3 linked regions of the Drosophila melanogaster genome follow. The protein of the gene in region 1 interacts with the protein of each later gene in a pairwise test. Each region holds a gene or a part of one and is shown in the gene's direction. Other genes may lie near its edges.

Region 1 (2,760 bases):
TCCACATCTGAACGCAGCAACCTTAGCTTCCTTCCAGTTGCACGTGCACCACCAGCACTGCCAACTACAAAAGCCAAGTTTCGATGCATTCACCTTAATAATCGTATTCATAATTGTCTAGACTCATCATTTCGCAGTCAGTTGCTTTTGGGCATCCAAGGCGCCTTTTGTTAAAGGCACTTCACCAGATTTCGATCACGTATCAATGGCAAACCTCGTTGGAGACAAATAACACAACGCGTGCTTGAGGAGATGCACCTGCAACATGGCATTAGCCATGTGTAGCCCTAGTTAAAAGTTTGGATTACCATTCTAAACTCATTCGAGATTTTTTCATCAGGAAGTTGAAAACAAAATCAGAACTCTTTACAACTGCATTGTTTGTGTTTGCCCATCTTGTGCATAAATGATTATCTACCTCAAATTATTCTTATTCTGCACTGTTTTTGTTTGAAGGTCGCTACGATAATAAAGATTAAGAGTAGTTATATATAGATATTGTGGTTTCGTTTGTATTGGCCCATTTCCAGTAGCACATTATAACGCAATCGAGCAGCTGAGCCCGGGTTTTGAGCCAGAATCGAATTGACAGCCGCTTGAAAGGGTTTTCCATATCAAATGGATATCTGTGCCAAGTCGCTGGCTGCGGTGACTGTTTTCATTTTTTTTATATGGCAAAGTAGCGAAGCCAAGGTTGCGTGAATTCATCACTTCACTTCACTCCTGGGGGCTGAGCTACTGCAATTTTGTAAATTGTTTCCATTCGGTTACCTCATGGCTAACGTGCATTTATATATCACTTTTGGATGGGCCCAGCTACTTTTGGGTATTTATTTTTTATTAAACACCCGAACATAGAATAATTCAAATTCGTGAGGCTATAAATTAAAAAGGGACACGGAACGAGCGAGTGGGTGGGCCCCAAAGATGGGGCCGCTGTTGTGAGTTGTATTCAACATTGTGTCATGCCGCGACTAGCGGCTCTACATGAGCACTCGTCTAGTCTGATTTGGCCGGGCAGAGATGTCTCTTGGTCGTCTTCGACTTGGATGATGTTGTCGCAGTCGCTAGTTTCATATGCATGCAATGGAGCGTGGCCTAATGCGATGTTGTTTGCGGCAGATGCATGTGCACGTTTGTCGGTTTAGAGGTGATAGTTCCCAGACTAAGGAGTTTCACCTTCTCCGGTAAAACCCACTTATATAGCTCGATTTGGTCACCAACCCCGAGTTGTTCTGTTTGCTTATAAATATTACCTGTTGCCTTTGCCCACCTGTCACATCAAATTAAATTGGAGCGAGAATTTATGCGAGCCCAACTGAGAAAACAAGGCGGATTTATTAGAGCAAGTCTAGACTTTAAATACCCTAACAAAAACCCTAACAGAACCTCAGTCGCATTTTTCAGGGACCCATTGAAAAATACATTATTTATAAAGCAAGTATAGATTTGTATTCTGTATAAGGTATATTATAAAACTAAGATACCCACAGTAAGTGTATCCTGTTGCCAACCTTATTGCGCAGCTGCGAACAGTGTTATTCCTTGGCTAACTAAATCTGAGCTGGAATATCCTGCTGCAATGAGCTCATTACCCAAGGAGCAACACAATGGAACAGGCGTACAGTACAGCTTCCCGACTGCGTGGGATTTGCGTTTGTGGATTGGCCATTTCGGTGTATTCACTGTATGTGAAAATGAAACTAAAGGAGGATGAGAACTATAGGCCAATGTGCGACGTTAACGATAATATAAGCTGCTCGCTGGTTTTTAAATCGGGGTAGGTAAGATTATAATATATACAATATAAATTTAATGAAATAATTTTCCATCAGCTATGGTGATGGCTTTGGTCTGGGTAACATAACCCAAGTAAATGCTCCCAACGGAGCCATCGGCTGTGCATTTTATATCCTGTACTTCTTGAGCTGTACGTAAATTTCTTAGTACAAACTAAACTAAATTTAATAAGCATTTGTTTTCAGCTTTCTTTAATCATCGTTGGCTGTGCCTGGTCCAATTGATAGTATGCACTTTGACATTACTTCTCTGCGTTTATCTGGGTTTCCTGCTGATTCTCGTGTTTTACGATTTCTGTTTGGTATGCGTGACCATCTATTTCATACACACATGGCTCTTTCAGGAAGTCCTAAGGCGATATAGACGCCTTTATATGTAAGATTTGTACAATGTTAAGACAAGCTAAGCAAAAATTATGAAGATAAATCCCTAAGATTAGTAGCTCAGTGAGTTATTTTAAACTGTCAACGTTTTATGGCGAATATCTCAATCTTCATCAGTCGTTCATTTTGTGACCCACACGTTTGGCTAAAAGCAGGATGCTGAGCCGGCGCATCTACCATTCCAACTCCCATGACCAAGCACGTAGTGGGGCAATTAATTCTGCACGTTCCCATTTGCCGGCGAAGGCTGTGATCTGTGATCCATAATCCGCGAATGGCGCTACTGCCAACAAAAGTTAAGTCGAGCTAGCCAAGTTAATACGGTGGGCGGACTGTGAAAACTCGACGCAATTAATTTCCCATAAGTTCGGGAATCCCTTTGTGTGGGCTGCTGTTCCGATTTGGTTGGGCTGAATAACTGAATCAATGGATGTGTGGAAATGTATACTGTGTGGATGCTGTATCGCATACCCTTGCAGATTTAAGTATCTATGATGAAAATAGTTTGAGATAATACTGATGATATTTAGCTATCTGAATCTTAACTTCATAGAATCTTCGTTTTAGCCACCTCACA
Region 2 (3,603 bases), on another chromosome or scaffold:
GAGATCGAGAGGAGCCGAAAGTGCGCCTACATCAATGCAGTGGTATACGAATGGCTAGTAAGGGCCAATATCAATCCCCAGCTGCGAGGTAGCATTACCCACGGAATGATCAAGGACAAGGCGGAGAATGCCAGACAAGTCATAGGGAGCACATCCTTTATAGCAGACAATCGCTGGTTAAACCGTTTCCGAGAGACTCATCTTCAAGGCTTTGCCCAAAAACTAGCCAGCAACCAGTTGAAGCCACTAGGATCCTCCCTGTGGATCCCGGACATCGTACAGGACCTAGCCCATCTCTTTCCGCCCGCGAGCGCTGAAAGAGTGGCCAAACTGGAGGAGATGCCCGAGCAGTACATGACCTACATGCAACAGTACGGAGAATACGAAGAAGATGATGACAGTATGGATGTAAAGGAGCAGAGCTATCAAGAGCAACAGCAGCAGCAACAGCAGCACTTTGCCCTCCAGCAGCAACATATGCAACAGCAGCAGCATCAAATGGGCCACCCATGGCCACCGTTTCCAGGACATCCCGGACATCCTACTCCACACCCCGGGTTCGCCAGCTTCAACGACTTTTATTTCGAGCGGCATCAACAGCAAATGCAACAGCAACTCCAGCAGCAGCAGCAGATGCAACAGTTTCCACCCACTATGCCACCTCAAAGGGAACCCTTTCAGCCCCAATTGCCGCCAAATGTTCCACCGCAGCGGGCCAGTCCCTTCCAGCCCGTTCAGTTGGCCAAGAGACCCAAAATGGAGTCACCCGATGATGACGAAGTGCAAGAGATTAACTCAGCGGTGAACTCACCACCATATCCGCTAGCAGAATCAACCTTAACCAGCAAGCACAGTCGAAGTTCCAGTCCCAACGAGCAGAACAACAATAATAGCGGGGGAAGAGACAGTGCCAGCAGCAAGGAGAACGCCCCCAAGGGAGGCGGAACAAGTGGCAAATCCACGCCTGCCCTTTCTTCCAAGGGAAAGGACTCACCTGCACCAGCTCGAGCTGCGTCCACCAAACCCGCCTCTGCTCCCGCCTCGCCAAAAAAGATCCCCAATGGATCCAGCTCCTCCGGCAGCCAAACCAATGGACACACATCCCCAGACCCCGAGGATAAGAAGGCTTTATGCATGCTGAAGGAGTTGGAAAGCTACCACCAGGCCTTGGAGTACCTAAAACCGCTGGAGGACTTCGTGCTCTTCAAGGAGAACTTTCGGGCTATTGGCTTGCTGTCCCAATTGGAACTGGTGCTCCGAAAAGGGGACAAGGCCACACTGGTCGAGGGTTAAGAGTTTTCTAATCGCGGACCAGGACAGCACAAAACATAAATGTGATGAACAGTGTACATATGTATCATGTAGTATTATTAAATCGTACTACCGCCAAAACAGTTGCTTAGGTTAACAAAGAATCTCCACTCGCATAAAGCTGAACCTAATTAATTAATTTATTAATTACTCTAAGTACAATAAAATGGAATTTATAAAATAATAGATATGTTTGTGTTTTATTTACGTATTTAAAACGGAAGTTGGTTTTATCTGAGTTCTTACGAGAATATTGTAGTCCTTGAAGTTGGCAGTGTTTTTTACATGAGTATGGCAACGCTGACTCGAAATCAGAGTGACCACGACTTAAAAGTATTTATAGATTGCTGTATTACTGTTCACCTCATGACTCGGCCACACTTGGACAATGTTTACTTCTTTTCTTCGATAAATCTGTAATTTTCGCGAACTAAAACAGAACAAATACCATAAACAACTGAATAAGGTAGAATAAAAACCGCACAAATGTCGCTTCTGGAGCAATACGAACAGCAATACGCCACGTTAATAGCAGAAATAACGGCCCATATTGGACGGCTGCAGCAGCAAAACAACAACAGTGAGTGGGATGATTGTCCATGGATTGTACATTATGGTGATTACCATTTGTCCATTTACTCCAGGCGAGCGCCATGATTTGTGCAGCAAGATCGACTCCAGTTTGCCCGAGGCTCAGGAATTGCTGGAGCAGATGGGTCTGGAGGTGAGGGAGCTAAATCCTGGACTGCGGAGCAGCTTCAACGGAAAGCTGCAGGTGGCCCAGGCAGAACTGAAACGGCTGCAGGCGGAGTACAGGTTGACCAAGGACAAACAGCGCTCCCAAGCCAACACATTCACCACTCTGGACTTGGGTGACAGCTATGAGGATGTGTCCATAAGTACAGATCAACGCCAACGCCTCTTGGACAACTCGGAAAGGATTGAACGGACGGGCAACAGGTTAACCGAAGGGTACAGAGTGGCCTTGGAGACGGAGCAACTGGGCGCCCAGGTCCTAAATGATCTGCACCACCAAAGGGAAACTCTACAGGGAGCCAGGGCTCGACTTCGAGAAACCAATGCCGAGCTGGGAAGAGCTTCTCGCACTCTGAATACCATGATGTTAAGAGCCCTGCGGGAGAAGGTGGTCTTGTATGGAGTGGGTGTCTGCTTTGTGGTGGCCGTGGGCGTCAGTCTCTATCTGACCTTCGCACCCAGTTCAAGCAGCACCGCCTCGTCGTAGTAATTTTAGCTAGCAAACCAATAGCCAATGATCTTAGCCCAAATTCAAATGTTATAGAAGCCTGTCCATTCCAATTTCGTGAGTTGATTATTTATTGTTTAGTATATTTTATTTTTACGAGATATTCTGTGGAAGAAAGCTGCAGATTACGCACTAATCTATATAAGATAGGATGGAGTATTACGTGCAATAAGAGTCGAAGCTTAGAGTAGTTATCTGCGGTCAATCGATGTCTATATATTTTGTTGTCCTTTTACCTTTAAGATTAAATTGACCTTCTTGTTAATCGATGGAATTCCTATTACTTTTTAATTCTTACCGCAGATTTCTAACCTATCACTCGCGTATCCGCCATCCTAGCTTACGTGTACAAAGTTTAAGTGGTTAATGTTTGGCGCCTGGTTAATAGAAACTAATCCTACTCTATGACTCGTGTTCGCGTTCGGGACGTATTTTTCGTAAAAATTCGAATTGAACATGTACGTATCTAAAAATCATAACATAGCCGAAAGCTATCAATAAATAAAGGAAACAGTAAAAATGCATCTCTGCGTGAGCATTGAGCCTGGCGGGAATAAGGGTTCCTAGCCGAACTCAATGTTCCCCAACTGCTAGCAGCCGCAGGAGGAGGCGTCCTCCTCGTTGGTCGCCGCGCCGCTGCTCGCAGTGTCCACCTGGAAGCTCTTGTGCTCCAGTGCCTGCAGTTCCATTTTGGAGCGATTGGCGTGGACCAGTTGCCTAGAGATGTCACGGAACATCTCCTCCACACCGGCGCCGCTGCGACAGGAGGTCTTGTACGTGGCACTGATCAGTGAGTGGCACTGCTCGCAGAAGGCCTCCACTTCCTCATCGCTGACCTCCGGCTCCCTGCCATCCAGATCGCTCTTATTGCCACAGATGAAGATCTTGGCATTCTCTGCATAGGTCACAATGTCCAGCAAGTGCTGCGACAGCGAGTGGAACGAAGCGGCGTTGTCCAAAGCAAAGACCAGGATGGCTCCCTCGGCGAACTTGTAGTACGAGGATGTGACCGAGGCCACACGCTCCAT
Region 3 (2,974 bases), on another chromosome or scaffold:
CGAAATTGGCTTTGTTTAAATCCATTATATGAGACGGACAGCACGATCGATTTGCGTGCCCCTCGGTGCCGCCTCAAAGTAGGCAACACAAATAAAGCTTAACATCATGCCGCCGAAGGGGCGAATTGGGAGCTGCGAGCTGGCGGATAAAGGATGGTGGCCACTCAATCCCAGTTGTTCTGCTTCAACACTTTCGCACAAACACCAATCAACTGGCAGATGAATCAAGCGCAGGCGTTGGCTGCCCAGTTAAGCCCACTCCGTAGCACCCACAGTCCACACAGCCCACGTAAACACCATGCCCCCCATCTTCCCGCGCCCTGAATTCAATTTTTTGGACAGGCGACAAAACTGCGCCACAAAGGGGGAAAAGCGGAAGCAGCGGCAAAGCAGGGAGATGCAGTCCATGGCAACAGCATCATCCAAAGGCAAACACACTGGCCGGCACATGCGAGTGGAAAATCAATAACGTGTACGTTTATCTTATTTTCTCGTCGCAGCGTCTGCTGTCGTTTCATTCCCCTTCTTTCAAATATATATAAATATAAATCTTCGGCGCACTTAAGCCTTTTAAATGATAACAATGGCCGGACCAAAAGAACCATTCCTTCCACCTCTGTTCCCTCAACAAGCCAACGAATAAAAAACACGACCACTGAGTAGCAGGTGCGCACTGGACACCAAAGGACTTACTCTACTATAGGACAGCAACGAGAAAAGTTCCACATCCAAGCCCCTTGGATTTTGATTTCCACACTGCAAATGTGCGTACTTGCTTGCCACATGCCACATGTATGTACGTAGCACCCGGACAAGTCGAGATATTCCATGAATTTATTATGTCCCCTCTGCTTTAATAGAGTTTCATCGAAAAGTTTCCCTCGAACAAATTATGAAATATACGGAGACAGCTTTTTGCCATTGAACGGAAATTGTGGTTTAAATCTGGGGGATGAATTTTGATCTAAAGCGAATGTGCACAAAAAAATATATCAGATAATAAAATGGCAGTTTATGTGTGGCCTGAAGCAAAAGTTTTTATCTTATTTTATTTATTGTGTTGGTATATTAAAGTAGTTGTTTGATCTTAAATTTCGGGGTAAATGTTTTTGACCTTGCAACTTCCAATAATTATTAAAATAATTACATATTTAGACGGTTCTTTTTTTGAAAGTCTTTTGAAAGTAAATTCACCAGGCAAGTGAAATCTCAGTTAAGGAGCTACCCTATATTTTGCTTTGGTTCCTAAAATGCACTTATGCAAAATAACATTAGTGCAGTAGACCGTCATAATTGTCATATTAGACAGGAAAATCCATAGACGACAGTCGACCCTGAAGTGTCGATGGACAGCAGCTTCTGGTTTTGCCCGGCCAGACAGGAAAGGAAATTGCTTAATTTAGCGCAAAAATTATCCACTGGCCAACGAGGCTCAATTGCCGGTCTGCCATGGTCGTTTGAGGCAGATGATAAAGCAACCCTTTGCTACGAATTTTTAGCCAGACTGATTTTAAATGACAGAAATGGTAGAAAATAAATTTAACTCACACTCATGATTTTCACACGAAAAACATATTGAATCACAAAGGCAAGGAGCGACTAGAAGAACTCTACATGCTTAGTTCAAAAAGTGACACTTCTGGAGACGATATCTCTATAACTGCACAAGCAGAAAAAAGAGTGGATGATAGCATCAGAGCGCCATCTATTGGCTGGAATGCTGAGCACAAAGATGTTCAGATTCCAAGGGACCAACTAACCCACAGGCAGATCAGCAAGTGCAATTTGTTTGAGGAATACATCAAGCTCCCAAAGAGTGAATATGGACAAACAAGCCGCATGAAGCGATTCCGATCCGAAGAGTTAGCTATTAAGCAAGGTAAGATAAATGTATAATTCCGTTCTTATTGAAGGGCTAACAGCCTTTGATATCTTAACAGAAGATCAAATCGTGGAGCATAGATCATCGAGTCTTTCGCGGCTATCGGATGTCACAATCAAGCCCACCTGCGAGGTGAGTAGTCAGACTTCGTGGACAGCAGCGGACGAGAGTAATATGAATAGCAAGGATTTGGAGGCGAAGCTGGCGGCTGTACGCGGCGGTGGTATCGATCTCGAAACGGACAAGCCCAGCAAGATCCAGCAGCACACGATCCACATCGAGGTGGAGTCGGTGACATCGGCCACGGCTATGCAAAGACCCCCACTGCACCAAAGGATGTGGCAGGTCCTTGTGCAGACGGCGGATACGATTGTCGCATTCGCCTCTATAATCGGCGAGAATTTAACAGTGGCACTCTTCATTGTCCTGTGCCTGTGGTGCCTTTACCTCTTACTAAGCCACTTTTATGGCAACTTGCAGACCAATGTCGGCATGCCGTCCAAATAATTGTAATAAGAATGATTCGTTTTGCACGTGATTGTATGAGTAAAAATGCAGTAAACAGAATTAGCAGAACAGAGTTCCAACCAGCATTGCGCATTCTAATTTATCTCAACATATTGGGTGTGCAACAACACATGATGGCGAGACTACAATATAGTGCCGAAGCGAAATCGGTTAGCATATAGCAAAAACGATCGGCCAGCGGTGGTCGACCTAGTGCATTTGGAATCTGCATGGAAACGGCATCGATGAATATCGTGTGACGTGTCGATTCGCAGGGTGCCAAAGCCGGGGCAAAGTCCACAGGACAAACTCTAATGCGCCGGCGCGGCTGTTCCGTCTGCACGCCGATCGAGTGGATGTCCTTGAGCACATCGCTATCCTTCTTCCTGAAGATCTCAACATCGTCTTCCGAATTTTCTGCGGGTTGATACAGTTATAGTAACTATACTAAATAAATGCGGGTGACATCTGGTTTCACCAAAATGAAACTGTTTATGGATTTATGACAGTAGTGTTATTTTTCAGAGTTTTCAAGGACAACTCCAAGAGACAGTTCCTATCTTTTTTTTATAGATTGGTTTATGC

The links.
Region 2: the proteins of Vkor (region 1) and Vti1a interact in a two-hybrid assay, tested with the Drosophila melanogaster proteins (one large-scale study listed by BioGRID).
Region 3: the proteins of Vkor (region 1) and CG16852 interact in a two-hybrid assay, tested with the Drosophila melanogaster proteins (one large-scale study listed by BioGRID).

Annotation. Positions count from the first base shown.
Region 1 is NT_033778.4:16,776,755-16,779,514, forward strand, and holds Vkor (Vitamin-K epoxide reductase), read left to right. Parts: upstream 1-1,610; coding exon 1,611-1,780; intron 1,781-1,835; coding exon 1,836-1,930; intron 1,931-1,985; coding exon 1,986-2,179; 3' UTR 2,180-2,240; downstream 2,241-2,760.
Region 2 is NT_037436.4:690,973-694,575, reverse strand, and holds Vti1a (vesicle transport through interaction with t-SNAREs 1a), read left to right. Parts: upstream 1-1,656; 5' UTR 1,657-1,797; coding exon 1,798-1,891; intron 1,892-1,955; coding exon 1,956-2,554; 3' UTR 2,555-3,090; downstream 3,091-3,603. Other genes in the region: CG13894 (uncharacterized protein), read left to right, coding at 1-1,293; RabX6, read right to left, coding at 3,166-3,603.
Region 3 is NT_033779.5:13,539,186-13,542,159, forward strand, and holds CG16852 (uncharacterized protein), read left to right. Parts: upstream 1-1,565; 5' UTR 1,566-1,614; coding exon 1,615-1,879; intron 1,880-1,940; coding exon 1,941-2,389; 3' UTR 2,390-2,461; downstream 2,462-2,974. Other genes in the region: CG9263 (uncharacterized protein), read right to left, coding at 2,490-2,806.